2 linked regions of the Diceros bicornis minor genome follow. The protein of the gene in region 1 interacts with the protein of each later gene in a biochemical or structural test. Links are inferred from orthologs where the notes say so. Each region holds a gene or a part of one and is shown on either strand. Other genes may lie near its edges.

What was found.
Region 2: the proteins of GPRASP1 (region 1) and OPRD1 form a complex in vitro, tested with the Homo sapiens proteins (2 studies listed by BioGRID and IntAct). The link is inferred for Diceros bicornis minor from reciprocal best matches to the Homo sapiens genes GPRASP1 and OPRD1.

What each region holds. Positions count from the first base shown.
Region 1 is NC_080781.1:95,539,590-95,547,324, reverse strand, and holds the start of GPRASP1 (G-protein coupled receptor-associated sorting protein 1), read right to left. Parts: upstream 3,021-7,735; 5' UTR 2,956-3,020; intron 2,641-2,955; 5' UTR 2,306-2,640; coding exon 1-2,305. UniProt on the Homo sapiens protein: Modulates lysosomal sorting and functional down-regulation of a variety of G-protein coupled receptors. Targets receptors for degradation in lysosomes via its interaction with BECN2.
Region 2 is NC_080752.1:44,095,211-44,102,163, forward strand, and holds the start of OPRD1 (delta-type opioid receptor), read left to right. Parts: upstream 1-3,936; 5' UTR 3,937-4,129; coding exon 4,130-4,356; intron 4,357-6,953. UniProt on the Homo sapiens protein: G-protein coupled receptor that functions as a receptor for endogenous enkephalins and for a subset of other opioids.

The DNA.
Region 1 (7,735 bases):
CTTCCTTGGTCAGTGGCTTGGTCTCTTTTCCAGTTCCATCATCTATACTATCCTCTTCTGCAGCCCATAACCAGGGTCCTGTAATGGCCTCTGGCCTTGTGTATTTTCTGGACCAGAACCATGAATCAACAGTGTCCTGTTCCTCCTCTGGCCTAGATTTCCAGCTGCCTCCACTGGCAGGATACATACAGGGATTTTCTTCTGCCCAGAAGCAAGACTCAATATTGATCTCTTCAGCCTCTGCCATAAATGTGCATCTAGTACCAGCCCCATACTTCATATTGACCTCTTCTGTAGTCCCAAACCAAGATGATGATATAATAACCTCTTCCTTGTCCTCCAGGCTAGACTTGTTGCTGACTTCTGCCCCCACATAACCTTCTACTCCAGCCCAAAACCATGACCCAATAATAGGTTCTTCCTCCTCAGCCCCTGACATGGTGTCACAGCTGACTTTAGCCCCATAATCCATCTGGCCCTGATTTCCAGCCCAAAACCAGGACCCAAATATTTTCTCTTCTTCAGCTCCTGGACTGGCCTCTTCTCTAAACTCAGCCTCTGTATTGACTTCTCCAGCCCAGAACCAGGGACCAATGACCTCTTCTTCCTCAGACCTTAGCCTGGACCCACAGCTGGCCCCAACACCAGCTTCCACACTGGCCTCATCACTGACCCAAAACCAAGACCCAAAAATGGTCTCTTCCTCAGCCTCTGGGTTGGTCTCTCCAGCAGCCCAGAAGCAGGAACCAGCAATGACCTTTGTTTTATCATCTGGTAGCAGAGATTTGGAAATGGCCTCAGCCCCAGTTTCCATACTAGTCTTTTCCCCAAGCCCATGCGTGGAATTGCCAATAGGCTCCTCCTCAGTTCTTGGTCTGGATTTACTGCTGACCTCAGTCCCCATATTGGCCTCTTCCTCAGTCCAGAACCAAGTGCCAACAATGGACTCATCCTCCACTTGAGAACCGGACTTGACACTGGCCCCACCCACTATGCTGGATTCTTTTGCAGCCCAGAAACAGGTCCCAATGAGGAACTCCTCCTCCGACCTGGCTTTTTGCTTGTCCCTGGCTCTGGCCTTGGTTTTGGCCTCTTCCTTTGCCATTGCTTTGGCCCTGGCCTCTTTCTTGGACTTGGGCCTTGACAAGTTATTAGCCTTTTCTCCAGGCCAGAACCAAGGCTCTTTTTTGACTATATCTATAGACCCAGACATGAAATCAACAGAAGCTTCTCGCTTGGCCCTGTGCCTGGCCCTGACATTGGCCCCTTTCCTGGCTCTGGGTTTGGACCTGGATTTGGCCTCTTCTCCAGCCCAGAACCAGGACTTCACATTGTTCTCACATTCAGACCCAGAACTGAACTCAGAGACTTCTTTCTTGGACCTAAACCTGGACCTGCTATTGTTCTCTTCCCTGGGCCTGGACGAGATATTGGTCTTTTCTCTGACCCAGAACAAGGATGTCTTAACAGATTCATCCTCAGAACTAGAACTGGACACAATATAGCGCTCCTGATTGGTTTTCGGCCTAGACAAGGCCTCTTTTTTGGCCATGTGCCTGGACCTGGTATTGGCCTTTACCCTGTCCCTAGGATGAAACCTTGTACTAAAATCTTCTCCACTCCAGAACCAGGAACTCATAGAAGATCCATCCACCAATCTGAAATCACAATTGTGACATGCCTCTTGTTTCCATGTAGGCCAGGGACAGCACCATGACCGGATATTGGTCTCCTCTGACCCAAACAAAGGCTGGATTCCTGACTGAGACTTGACCTTGGTGCCAGGAAAGCACTCAGTATCCACATTAATCAATTCCCTATCCATAGACAAAGTCTTAGTTTTAGCAACTGACCCAGACTCAGTACCAACCAGTGCCCAGGCTATGGCACTGGTCTGGGACACTCCCTCTGTCTTCAACATTGCCTCAGCATCAAACACAGTCTGGGCCCGTGAATGGGCTTCATGCATGCGTGTTGCACCAGGGATTACCTTGGCCTCTGTTTTAGGATGTGTCCCACCTTCTGCCATGGCCTCAGTTTTGGGTCTTGCACCAGGCAAAACATGGGTCTCAGTTTTGGGCCTTGCCCCAGCCATTGCCTGGAACTCAGTTTTGTGCCTTGCCCCAAACATAGCCTGGGACTCAGTTTTGGGCCTTGCCCCAAACATAGCGTGGGTCTGGCTCCTAACCTTGGGTCTGACCACCAGTGGGACTTCATTCTCTCTCTCAGCCCCACCCCCAACCTCTTCTCCAGGCTTCTTTTCAGGCTTAGCCTGGGCGCCAGGCTCAATCTCGGCCCCAGTCATAGTACAAGTTACAGAAGAGACTCAGGTAAATACTCCTACCCCAGTCTCAGCCTCTACCACAGGATCTGTCACAGTTTTTTATCTTCACGCTCTGATCCGTCAGTGATTCAGGAGACGATAGAGTTGGAAACAAGAGTTAAAGTCAATCGCCAGTCCAGCAGTCAATCAGCCTCCTTCTCAGGCCCAGCCTCAGCCAATATTACAGACAAGAGTGCAGCAGAAGCACAACCAAGCTGGGGGAGGATGGATGGTTCCCGGGTGGGTGCAGACCTGTAGAGGGTGGTGGTCAGCAGCAGTTCCAACACCACCAGAGCTGCCACTGGAGGTGGATGGATCTAGGAAGAGAGAATGTCATGGGACTTTGAGTCTCTTTCAATTGTGTCGCTCCACGCGGAGACTCACAGAGACTGGACTTTGAACGCTTGGTGAGACACTCAGATTAGAGAGTCTTTCTGTCACCGACATTTCGCCCACACCCTTCACCCCCAGAGCTGCCACGGTACTTTGCCTGCTACAAAACAGGTGTGAGGTTGGTGGGAAAGTGTGTTGGCAATGAGAGAGGCTGAGAACCCCCAGACTAGAACCTAATCACTCTTTGGTCTGTGTTGGTCTCCACTCCCAGCCCAAGTTGTACCCACTCTCATACCAACCTGCACTGATGGGGTGCAATTTCCCCTCCTTGCTTTGTTCCAGTGGAATTAAGCCCTATAGCAGACAGCAGGCCATCCTACAGACAACATACAGGAGAAAATGGAGTCTGAGTGCTTGGCATTCAGGCAGACACCCTGACCCCTGATGTAAACATCTCTCTTCCTGTTTAAGGGTCCAATTTGCCTAACGTTACATGTCTCCTGGTCCCTGTTCCCAGGTCTTCTCCTCCCATTCACAGCCCAATCCACAACTACCCCAATATTCCTAATAGCTCCTGCAGGAAATGGACAAGGGATGCTGCAGCACTGTGCAAATCTGGCAGAGAGTAGGACAGGAGAATCAAAGACACCCAACTGGATCAAACACCAATGATCTTACTCTGTAGCTGTCCCCTGCATTGCCCCTCTTCACACCAACCTCCAGAGATTTGAGCCAGTCTCTTCCTCCTTTCCTTCCCTGCAGAGGTGATCAGCCTTAAAGCAGGCCTATGAACAAAGAGGCGAAAAATAAGACAGCAAGGAAATAATGGTAGCAACTCAGTGCTTGGTAGTCCGACAAACACCAAGGATAAAAAGTACCCATATTATCTGTCTTTTAACATTTAGTGTCCAGTTGGTACAATATTCTTTAATGCAACCCCTCTATTTCAAGTTTCTGGATAACTCCTCCTCTTCCCATCACTCTCCTCATCACTCCCTTCTCCAATTCTGAGGATTCACAACTAGGTGTTCACAGTTCCCTGCGCCGCACACCATAAATTGGAGAAAGTACCCAGCATATTCTAGACAACAGATTTTCAAGTGGTATTTGTAATTATGACTCCCTTGTCACATCCACCTCCAAAATCCATCATTTAGTGCCAATTAGAGAAGAGCAGGGAAGGAAAGCAAGGGAAGTGCCTACAAAGCTGGTAGAGAGGAAAACTTGAGGAGGTACTCCTGGATGCCTGACCTGCTCTGGTCGCAGTCAGCCCACCCCCATTCGGCTCTCCAGTCAATGGCGGCTGCCCACCCCCCATCCCCACACACCTCCAGAAATCCAGGCAACTTTCCTGCTCCTCCTTGCTCGCAAGTGTCTCCTCTACAGATGCACCCTGCAGCCTGAAGTCGCCAGACCTACCGCGCAGACAGGAGACTTCGGCATTAACGAGGCGCCTGTGGGAAGGGACAGCACCCAGGACGCGGGGCCCAACAGGCCCCTTTCCAGAATCAGGGCCCAGAGCAGCCCACACCACTGTCCCGCTCCGCCGGCTCGGCGCAGAGCTCGGACACCACCCCCGCCCCGCCGGCCTCCACGGGCGCCCCCCGACCCAGCTCTCGCTCCGCTCCGCCATTTCTCCCGCAGCAGGCTCCCCCACAGCCCTCTCCCAGCACAGACACCGTCGAGGGCGGGGCGCGGGCGCCCGGAAAGCCGGCTCGGGAGCGCCGGGCGCGATTCGCCTCCAGAGGATCCGCGGGAGTCTCTCGGGCCAGCCCCTGCGCCCTGGCCCCGGCCCGCGCCAGTGGCCGCCTCCTCAGCGCCAGGGGTCCCCCGGCGCTGCGCACCTCTCTCAGCGACCGGCTCCGACCGGCTCGTCTCCTCCTTGCCAGGCTGCCAGGGTCTGGAGGGCGGGCTGGAAGCCGGTCGACAGTGGGGGACCACCCCCGCGCCCCCCACGACACCCCCACTTGCCTCTCTAGGCTCAGGGCCCAGGTCGTCGGCCTCCCCCTCCTCTCGGAGCTCCTCACTCGGAGTCCCACCGCTTTCCGCGCAGTCAGATTTCCAAGAGGCGGCCCGCCCCCCGCACCGCTGCACCAAAACGGGCAGGGGCTGCGCAGGATGCGGCACGAACAGCTCGCGGCGAGGGGTGTCGGGAAGGGGGGCGGAGGGATACGGCACGAATGGGCTCGACGCCCCCTCCCAGGCCCACCGTAGTTCCGACCCAGAGGGGGCGGGGACGGGAGGAGCTCCAGCCCGAGGGGCGGGCTAACACCAGCCTGCCTCAGTAGCCCTCCGCGGCCACCTACGTGGCGACCACCCCCTCATTGCCGGCACTACGATATAGGGGACCGGCGGGTGGTTGGCGCTGGGGGCCAGGATCGGGAGGAGCCGCGCTGGAGGGAGCAGCGGATGGATACCAACCGCCCCTCAGTGTCTGTGGTGTGTGTGTGTGTGAACCCCCCGACTGCTCCGAGTGTGCCCACCGCCCCCTCCCCACCCGCCCGCCATCCTTCCGGAACGCTGATGGGAGAGGGGCTTTGAGGACCGCAGGCTGGGAGGGGAGAGGCGATTTAAGGCCAGACCGCCCCGGAGGTTCTGGGTGGGAGCCCTCCCAAGTTCTTGTTTCATTGCCTCATGGGGCTGCGGAGAGGAGGGAGGTGGGAGGGGGCTCCCATGGAGGCCTCACCACTGCCCCTCTTCCAGAGGAAGGCAGACCTAGACCTCTAAGGAAACAAACCACTGGTCTGTGCCCAGAGTCCTTCTTTCTGCCACAACGCTTGCTTTCTCATTCGAAATGGTAACACACTTGACAATTTTGTGGTCCCCACAGTTGCCTAAGAAAGAGGCCTTTCCTTGTCAGGACCCACACCCGGTCATACAACCCTCTTTCTCTGTTGCCCCACAACCAAGTGTCAGGCACCAGGTAGGGCTGGTCCTGGCTCCTCTTCCACTGGTCTGTCCAGTCTTCTCTGGCAGTCACTTCAAGCTCTCCTGACCTTTGGCAGTGTGGAAATGTGGCAGAGATTACAACCAACTTGGATCTCAGCCACTTGCCATACACACTTGTCTAGTTTTCCCAGTCATTCCTGGAGAAGGCCCCATCGTGCACCCACTTCCTCAAGACAGAAACCTGGTGGTTCTTGAATCCTGTACATTCATCCCTACCTCCTTCCTCTAGTCTTGAACCCCTCCTTTCTGCACTCCGTGGGGCAAACAGAGCAATGGTGCGTAAGCACAACCAGGGGTGAGTACAAACCTGCTGGCACTGTTGCCCATTTTAAAACCCAATTAAATGGCACTCTCAGTGTGGTAGGCTGAATAAAGGTCCCCCAAAGATGTCCACGTCCTGTTCTCTAGAACCTGTAAATATGTGATGTTACATGGCAAAGGAGAATGAAGGTTGCAGGTGCAATTAAGATTGTGTGGGAGATCAAGATCTGGCCACCCTGGAATATATCTCTTTACCTTGATTGTTTTCTCTGACGGACATTTGACCTCCCCCACTAACTGCCTAAAGAATTTGACATAGTAACTCCTTCCTGGAACACATCTTCTATCTGATGGCTGTAATATAATGTAAAATAGATGTTACAATAGAAAAGGCACCAACAAGCCCATCTTATCAGAAGTTCTGTCTCTCTGGCCACATTCTCTGGATGGCCCTGCAAGGAGTTGCCAGATAAACATTTACATTTATAAGGGAAATCTCCATTTGTAAAGGTATCTCCCTCTCTGTATTGGGAAGAGGGGAAATGACCTCATTTCTAGAAACTTATCAATGTGGAAAGTGAGGCCTTAAATCTGCATAATAACCTTACTCCTGTTTACTGTGCTTTAGTGGTAATCTCCTGTAACTGACTCCCCCCACCCCCAACATCCTCCTTTGTCCTTAGCTGAACATGGTATTTAAGACGAGAATTTCTGCTGTTGTGTTGAGAAATGCAGTTTCCCTCGTTTCTCCCATGTATACATGTTATTAAACTGGGTATTATTTTCTCCTGCTAACCTGTCTTGTTAATTATTTGGCCAGCCATAAGAACCTTAAGGGAAAGGGCAGAGGGGGATTCTCCCTCTTCCCCCACAATTGCTAATCACCTGAATTTAAAATAAGATTACACTGGATTATCCTGGCCAATGCAATTGCAAGGGTACTTTAAATGTGGAAGAGGCAGGCAGAATAATCAGTGTGACGGTGAAGTAGCATGAGAAAGACTTGACAGGCCCACAGGTCCCTTGCTGGTTTTGAAGATGGAAGGAAGCCAGAGGCCAAGTAATGCCGGCAGCCCCCAGAAGCTGGAAAACACAAGGAAACAGATTCTTCCCAGAACCCCTGGGAGGAATGAAGCCCCGCCTTCACCTTTATTTTAGACCAGTGAGACCCTTTTCAGATTTCCAACCTCCAGGACAGTAAGATAATAAATTTTTGTTATTTTAAGCCACCAAGATTGTGGTAATTTGTTACAGCAGCAGTAGGAACCGAATTCACTCACCATCCTGATAAAGTCCATTCCCCTTGACTTTCTTTACTTGGGCTTCAGCTCCTGGGAGGATCAATTTTGGGGCTCATCTCTCACCACTATAACCACCCTCTCCAGCAATCCTCTTCTCTCCGTTTTCTAAAGAAGAGATTTTTGCAGTGGTCTTTGAGGCTTACTTGGAGAAAGTCGCTATTTGCTAAAAATCACTGATGTTTTTCAGGGTGAAAAGGGAATCGTATTCTTACCATGAATTTACAATTTGTTTTTAGATATTTATTATAACTCTGCAATATTTTGGTGACAGGAAAAAAACATCTGGAGACGATGCTATACAGTATGTGGAGACAATGGATGTCAATTTTCAGAGGAAGGCCTCTTTTACTGTACTATTTAAATAGGCTTTGCTGAATTGTGGACTTTTTTCCTTTGTTCCAAAGTATACTCTCTTGGGCTACTGCCAGGCTTGAGGAAGGGAGTCTGAGCTCTGCTGGGATCTGTGGATGTATGTGGATCTCTGTGGCTCTCTGAACTGCTTTCTTCTCTTTCTTAAAGTTACTTGTGTCTGTCATCCCTTCAACAAGTATGTATTGAGTACCTTCTT
Region 2 (6,953 bases), on another chromosome or scaffold:
ATTTCCCATCTGTTTTTGTTTTTTTTTTTTACCCTGAAGTCAAGGATGGGGACAAGCTCCAAGCAGACCCAAACCTTTCAGTAACCCAGGCTTGGAGGGCTGTGTCTACTCTGCTCCACCAAGAGGAGGGATGGACTCAAGAATCTCCTGAGCTCCCAGGAACTCATCACCCTCCATAGTGGGGAAACTCTGCCGAGCAGAGACAAGAACGATGGGTTCTTGTGTTTTTGGGGGGTGACTTTCTAGTTTTTGCTCTGAGAGGTAGCGTAGTGTGGTAGTCAGGAGACTGGCATTTTTTTGTGTATGTGTGAGGAAGATCAGCCTTGTGCTAACATCTGCCAATCCTCCTCTTTTTTTGCTGAGGAAGACTGGCCCTGTGCTAACATCTGTGCCCATCTTCCTCCACTTTATATGGGACGCCTCCACAGCATGGCTTGCCAAGCAGTGTGTTGGTGTGCAACCGGGATCGAACCGGCGAACCCTGGGCCACCGCAGCAGAGCGCACGCACTTAACCGCTTGCGCCACCGGGCCGGCCCAAGGAGACTGGCTTTTTGAGTCACACAGACCTGGCTTGGCATCCCAGCTCTGGCTTGGGCACTAAGCTAATCTCTGCAAAATGGAATAATAATAGTAGAACCTCATGCCTATAGGGCTGCTGAGGATTAAATGAAATAATCCACAAAGCATTTAGCCCAGTGCCTGGCACACAGCAAACTCTCTATAAATGGCAGCCAACATGATTATTTATGAGTTGTCACCACAGAAATGAGATTGCCTTTTAAAGATAAATAGACTAGAATGCTCACATCCAAGTAAGAATTGAGCTCTTCAAAGTACTCTCTGTGGGAGGCCATGAAAGAAACCCCTTCCCATGCCTTTCCAGTTTCCATGTGTTCTTCCAATGTCCTCAAGGGGGGCAATTCACGTGCAATTGGCACGTGTCTTAGTCAGTTTGGGCCGCTATAACAAAGCACCATAGACTGAGTGGCTTACACACAACAGAAATTTATTTCTCCCAGTTCTGGAGGCTGGAAGTCTGAGAGGGTCAGCACGTCAGGTTCTGGTGAGGACCCTCTTCTAGGTTGCAGACTGCTACCTTCTTGTTGTATTCTCACGTGACAGAGCAGAGGCAGCAAGCAAACTCTTAAAAGGGGCAGTCCACAACAGCATGTATGTTTCCTTAGCCATTATTTCACTCATGTACTTGGTCATCTGCATATCTCTCACAGCTTCTTGACTGTGAGCTCTTTCAAGAGAGCAATGGTCTTACTCAACCTCACGGTTCAATAACTCATGCTCATGCAGCCTTTCTCAGTTGCACCAATCCTGCACCTCTCCACTTTATAGATGAGAAAACTAAGGCTCAGTGAAGTTAAGGGAACTCTTTTTCTGTCTGTTGCCTACACGATAGCTATGACTTTCCACCATAGCATTTCCGTACCCAGGAGGGACTCAAAAAACATTGCAGAATGCAATTTTTAAAAGTTCCCTTCTGCCCCGTATGACCAGAGCACGTGATTGGGGCGGGGATGGGGGGTGGAGTCAGAAGAGGGCAGCAGTAACCCCTGGTTGGGACCAGACTGGGGAAAGCCCCAAATGCACTGTCAAGGAGTGAGGGTAGACTGATTTGGTTACAGCTAAAAGCCAAGAGCAGGGGTGGAGCTGGGAACTAGTATTGCAGTTCCAAATAAGATGTGATTACAGAGTTTATACAAAAGGTTTTAGGCGCTTAAAAGAATCCCTTCGTCCTATATTAATCGATATCTGCTGTTTCCCTCATCAACATGGGAGCTCACCAAAGTTGGAATTGAGCTTCCCATTCCATCACTCATTGAGCATCAGGGACTGTAGCAAGGTGGGGGTACAGATGCGCACAAGAACTGTTGTAGAGTGATGCACAAAAATCCAATGATTACACAAACAAATACGTGGGGAATTCTGTAAAGAAGAGGTGCATGATGCTATGAGAACAAATAACAGAGCACCTGGTCTAGGTGGTGGAGGGAGGTGCAGTCAGTGAAGGTTTCATGGAGGAAGTGATGTTTAAGCTGAAACTTGAAGGATGAATAACATTTAGCCTGGGGAAGTGGCCGAGCCTTCCAAGTAGAAAAGAGAGAGTGTGCAAATGTCCTGAGGTAGGAAAAAAATTGGCTTGTTGGAGGGGTAAGGAGGGTGCCAGAACTCTAATAAAAGTAGCCTTCCTTCCTGTCCCAATTTCTCTCCCCGGCACCAGAAAAATCTCTGAGTACCAGGCCCTTTGGGACAGCGGAGAGAGTTTTGGCAGCACATGTGACCACACAGCAAAAATCATCTGTCTGATGAGTCCTTAGACGGTTGAGTGGGAAAGCCTTGGGGTGGGGAGTCCGCTATAGCTGGTAAGGGGTCTTGGATAGTAGCTGGGAGGGGCAAAGAGAATGGGGAGGAGGGTGAACTTGGGAAATCTGGTTTTGTTCTTTCCGGGAAAGGGTAAGAGCCTTGCACATAGATGGAGGACTCAAGTCAGAGAGTGATATGAGTGAGGGGTCCTTGCTCAGCCACTCACAGGGCCAAGAGCATCACCCCAGAGTTTAGAGCTCAGGAACACCAATGTTGTCCCGTGGCAACTCCCCCCCACCCCAGGGCCTTTATTTATCCAACCAGTATTTCCTGAGCACCCATTGTGACCCCAGCCCTCTGCTAGGTGCAGGGATCAATCAGGCCTGGTCTCCCCAAGGAGGAAACACACTTAGAAATAATTTCCATCTGGGATAATTTAGTGCCTTGCCTAGTCTTCTCGTCTGTAAAATCGGGATACTAACCATAGAATGTACTCCAAAGTGTTGATGCACGGATAAAGCGCCTATCATAGTGCCTGGAACAGAGTAAGGGTTGGTAGAGAGAATGTTCTGGGAAGGACATGAGCCCCAAAAAGGAAGATGGCTCTGGGTCTGGGCTGGTCAGGTTTGGGAGAGGATGTGGGAAGTGCTTCCCTTTCCATCTGCTCCTACAGCCACCAGAGTGATCCTTAAGGTGGTCTTTGTGACCCTGCCCACCACCTCATTCCATTCTCCCCACCCTCGCTCCCTGTCCTCTCCTCTTCATGGCCTCCTTTTGGTCCGTCTGACCATAGGATCTTTGCACATGTGGTTCCTTTGTCTGGAATGCTCTTCCCTTGTTTCTTCTCTAAATTAGTTCCTCCCCAAACTTCACCTCTCACCTCAGGTGTCATTTCCCCAGGGAAGCCGTCCTGACCTCTGGGTTTTGTAGGCCCTGCCACAGGAATGCTTCACTTTCCTCAGTGTGTAACTCTGTCTTCATTAGTGTAGTGTTAGGATTGATGTCTCTCTCCTCCACTGGGCTGCAAGCCCCAGGACGCAGGGGCCGCATCTGATTTTGTGCAGTGGTGGATCCCCAATAGTACCCGGCTCTTATATTTGGCACCAAAAAAATATCAATTGAGCGAATGAATGGGGCGCAAGAAAACCACGGATGATAACAGTTATTTATGGAGCACTTATTGCGTGCCCGGCACTAAGTTCTTCACTGGCATCATCTTATTCAATCTCCCCAACAACCCTGTGAGGGAGGTGATGCGATTATCCTCATTTTACAAACGAGGAAAATGAAGTCGAGAGAGGTTAAGGGACGTGTTCAAGGTCACTCTGTTCGTTGGTGCAGGGGCGAGAGGCAGGATTCATGTTCAGGTCCTTCTGACTTCAGAGCGGCAACGGGTGGGGAGGTAAGTCGCGGCAGGGGTGGAGGTGCACTCGAGCCTGCGGAGCATCCCTAGGAGGGAGTGGGAAGCCTCCCAGCCCAGCTGCAAGCCGGTGGTGCAGCGCCCGCCCCCGGTCGCGGGCGCAGACTGGCGGCCGCCTCCGGGCCACGTGGTGCGCGCGGCGGGCGCGTCCGAGGAGCCCGCAGCGGCTCCCGGCTCAGAGCGCTCCGGGCCAGGACAGCGGGCGGGCGCCGGGCTCAGGGCGGTGCGAGCGGCGAGGCAGGCGGAGGAGGAGCAGAGGAAGCCAGGTGGCCGGGGCGCTGCAGCTGGCGGCGTCGGAGCCGCAGCCTCGGGCCCCGGCGCGCCCCTCGCACCAGGTCTCTGCGCCCAGGGCGCACGGTGGGGAGGGAGGCGGCGCCGGCTGCCCGGCCACCATGGAGCCGGCCCCCTCCACCGACGCTGAGCTGCAGCTCCCTCTCCTCGCCAACGAGTCGGACGCCTTCCCCAGCGTCTTTCCCAGCGCGGGCGCCAATGCGTCGGGGCCGCCAGGCGCACGGAGCGCCTCGTCCCTCGCCCTGGCTATCGCCATCACTGCGCTCTACTCAGCCGTGTGCGCCGTGGGGCTGCTGGGCAACGTGCTTGTCATGTTTGGCATCGTCCGGTGAGTCCGCTTTGGGCTGGCGCCGCGGGGCTGGGCCTCGGGGTGAGGGTGGGGACCACGGACTTGGGACCCTGACCTGGGACCCCGGACTCCCGGGGTCTGCGCACTTCCTGCAGGGGGCACCGGGGACCCAGCGGGGAGACAGCTTCCATTGAGAGGAGGACTGGAATGTGTGTGTGTAACTAAAAAACATTCCATCATCTGTTGTCATCCCCGTCTCCATCAGGCTATGTGGGACAGTTTGGCGACAGTTTGTGTGTCTGTCACGGTTTGTGAGTGGGTGATTCTGTTTGTGACAGTACAAATGTGTGTTTGGACCTCTAAAAACCTCGTAGGGGTGGGCAGAGATGCCCGAGGTGCCATGGGCCTCTGGGGAGACAGCTGTGTGTGGGTTGTCCATGCAGGTGGGCACAGGAGAGTGCGTGTCTGCACCATGCTGTAGGGCACTTACTAAGTCACATTTGGTGATCATCTGTTGGGGTCCCTGTGTTGTTGTGTGCTTGTCCCACACTGTCAGTTGTGATTCGGAGTATGTGACAATGTGACTGTGTTGTTCTTGTCAAACCTCTGAGCCCCTGGGGGGAGGAGAGCATCCAGAGAGGCTTTGGACACTTGTGTTCGTGCACCTGTGTGTGTGTTTGCTAATGCCCCATGTTCCTGGGGACAGGGGGCAATGGCTGTGGGCGGCCCAGTCGGCTTTCCGCTTCCTTCACCAGTGGCCATCTGGTCACGAGCTCAGGAGTTGATTGAGAGAGGCCTCAGAGCCTTCTCGCAAATGCCCCTCATTTTCTCCTCCTCTCCTCTCACAGCCCTTTTTTCTGCCAAAGGCCGCAGTGGTTTGTTAGGGCTGGAGTGGAGTTTGTGCTTTCACCTCGGGAAGCGGAGTTCTCTTCTTGGTCTCTAGGCACGGTGCTGGGACTTTCGCAGAGCTCAAATATCATCAGCTTGCCCAGAAGCAGCCTTCCTGACCCAGCTCTGCCAGCTCAGACAGGGGCAAAAAGGGTGGAAAGGAAACTCCTATCCTATGACCACAAAGATGCCCTGGTGTTAACTGTTGGTTGGAAATGGGTCATCCGTGCTGGTTGACCAAGGGCACGGTCCTAAACCTCTCTGGGCTGTGGTGTCACCAGGCAGAGCAGATGGCAGACGGCAGATTGTGGGCTCAGAAGTTGGAGATGTGAGCTGTGATCTCAGCCCAGTCCCTGGTGCCCGTCACAGCAGAGGCCTCATTTCTCCTGCCCCACCATCTGCCTCAGTTTCCCTGTCTGAAGAATAGAGACCCAGTCTCCTCAATTGGGAGTACGAATTCCAGAGTATGGGGTCTCTGCAGGGCAGAATGTAGTGCATTCGAGCATTGGAGGGGTGGGTGTGGGTGTTGAGGGAGTTTTGGCATCGATGATCTCTGGAGAGATCTTTGCTCCTCCAGGAAGAGTGGAGGGCACGAGAAGCTCCTGTGCCTTCAGTGACTCATCACCAGCTGCAGTGGGAAGATTCCCCGAAGCACAGGCAGGATTGATCTTTGCTTTGCGTTTTTGTCAATGATTCTCCCCACTTTGCCTTTGGAGGTAGTGCAGGCTTTAGAATGGGCCAATCTGAGTATTAATCCCAGCTCTTCCACAAACTGGCTCTGTGACTTGGGTAAATCCCTTAGCCTCTCTGAGCCTCAGTCTCTTCATCTGTAGAATGGGGTAATAATAGAACCTTCTTCAGTAGGGTTTTTGTGAGGTGTCAATGAGCGAGTATATATAATGCAGCCGGCCTGGTGCCTGGACCCAATAAATGGAAGCTGCCTGTGTGCTGAAGAGGAGGAATTTTCCAGATCCTTCAGAATACAGTGCCTATTAAAGAAGGGAGTGAGGGAGGCGCTTGTCCTGAGGTGGGCCTGGGGGTAGCTCTGACTCTGAGAGGTCCAGGTTCCTGGCACTGCGCTCTCTGGGGAGGTCCTGGGAGCTCTGTCTGGGGGAAGCTGGCCTCTTGTCTGTTCCACAGCATGCCCTGTCTCCCTGCCTCCACCTCTCCCTGATCCTGGTTTCAGCAAGTTCACACCCTGCTGTGTCTCCTACCACCCCCACCACCCCCCTCCTGCCCCGTTGCTTCTTCGTGACTCTCTTTCAGGCTGTGTGCTACTCAGTGCTGAGCCCCTCGATCTCTCTCTCGGCCCGTGTCTCTTCTGACTCTCCTTGGATCAAATGCTGGCTCTGCCACCTCCTAAAATCTTCAGCGAGTTGGGTCACCACTCTGCAGCTCAATTTCTTCGTCTGTACAGTGTGGATCATGTTACCTGTCTCATAGGCACCCTTGTCCTAAAGATCGGATAAGACGATGTTGGTAAAGCGTCGTGTTTGCTCTCCCATCCCAGGTGACTGCAGCACAGAGCAGGGAGGGGAGGTTGGGCCAGGCAGTGTGGGCTGGGGCGGGTCACGACAGGTGAATGAGGGGTTCTGGTCATCCCTTCTGTCTATTACCAAGGTGCCAGGGGTTGCTGGGACAGGTGCTCAAGTGTGGGCTTTGCAGAATTGGGAGCTCTGAATCCCTGTCTTGATTTTGGAGGCCCAGCATGAGCGCCTTGCCTTCTTGTCTCCCTTCCCTCTCTTGCT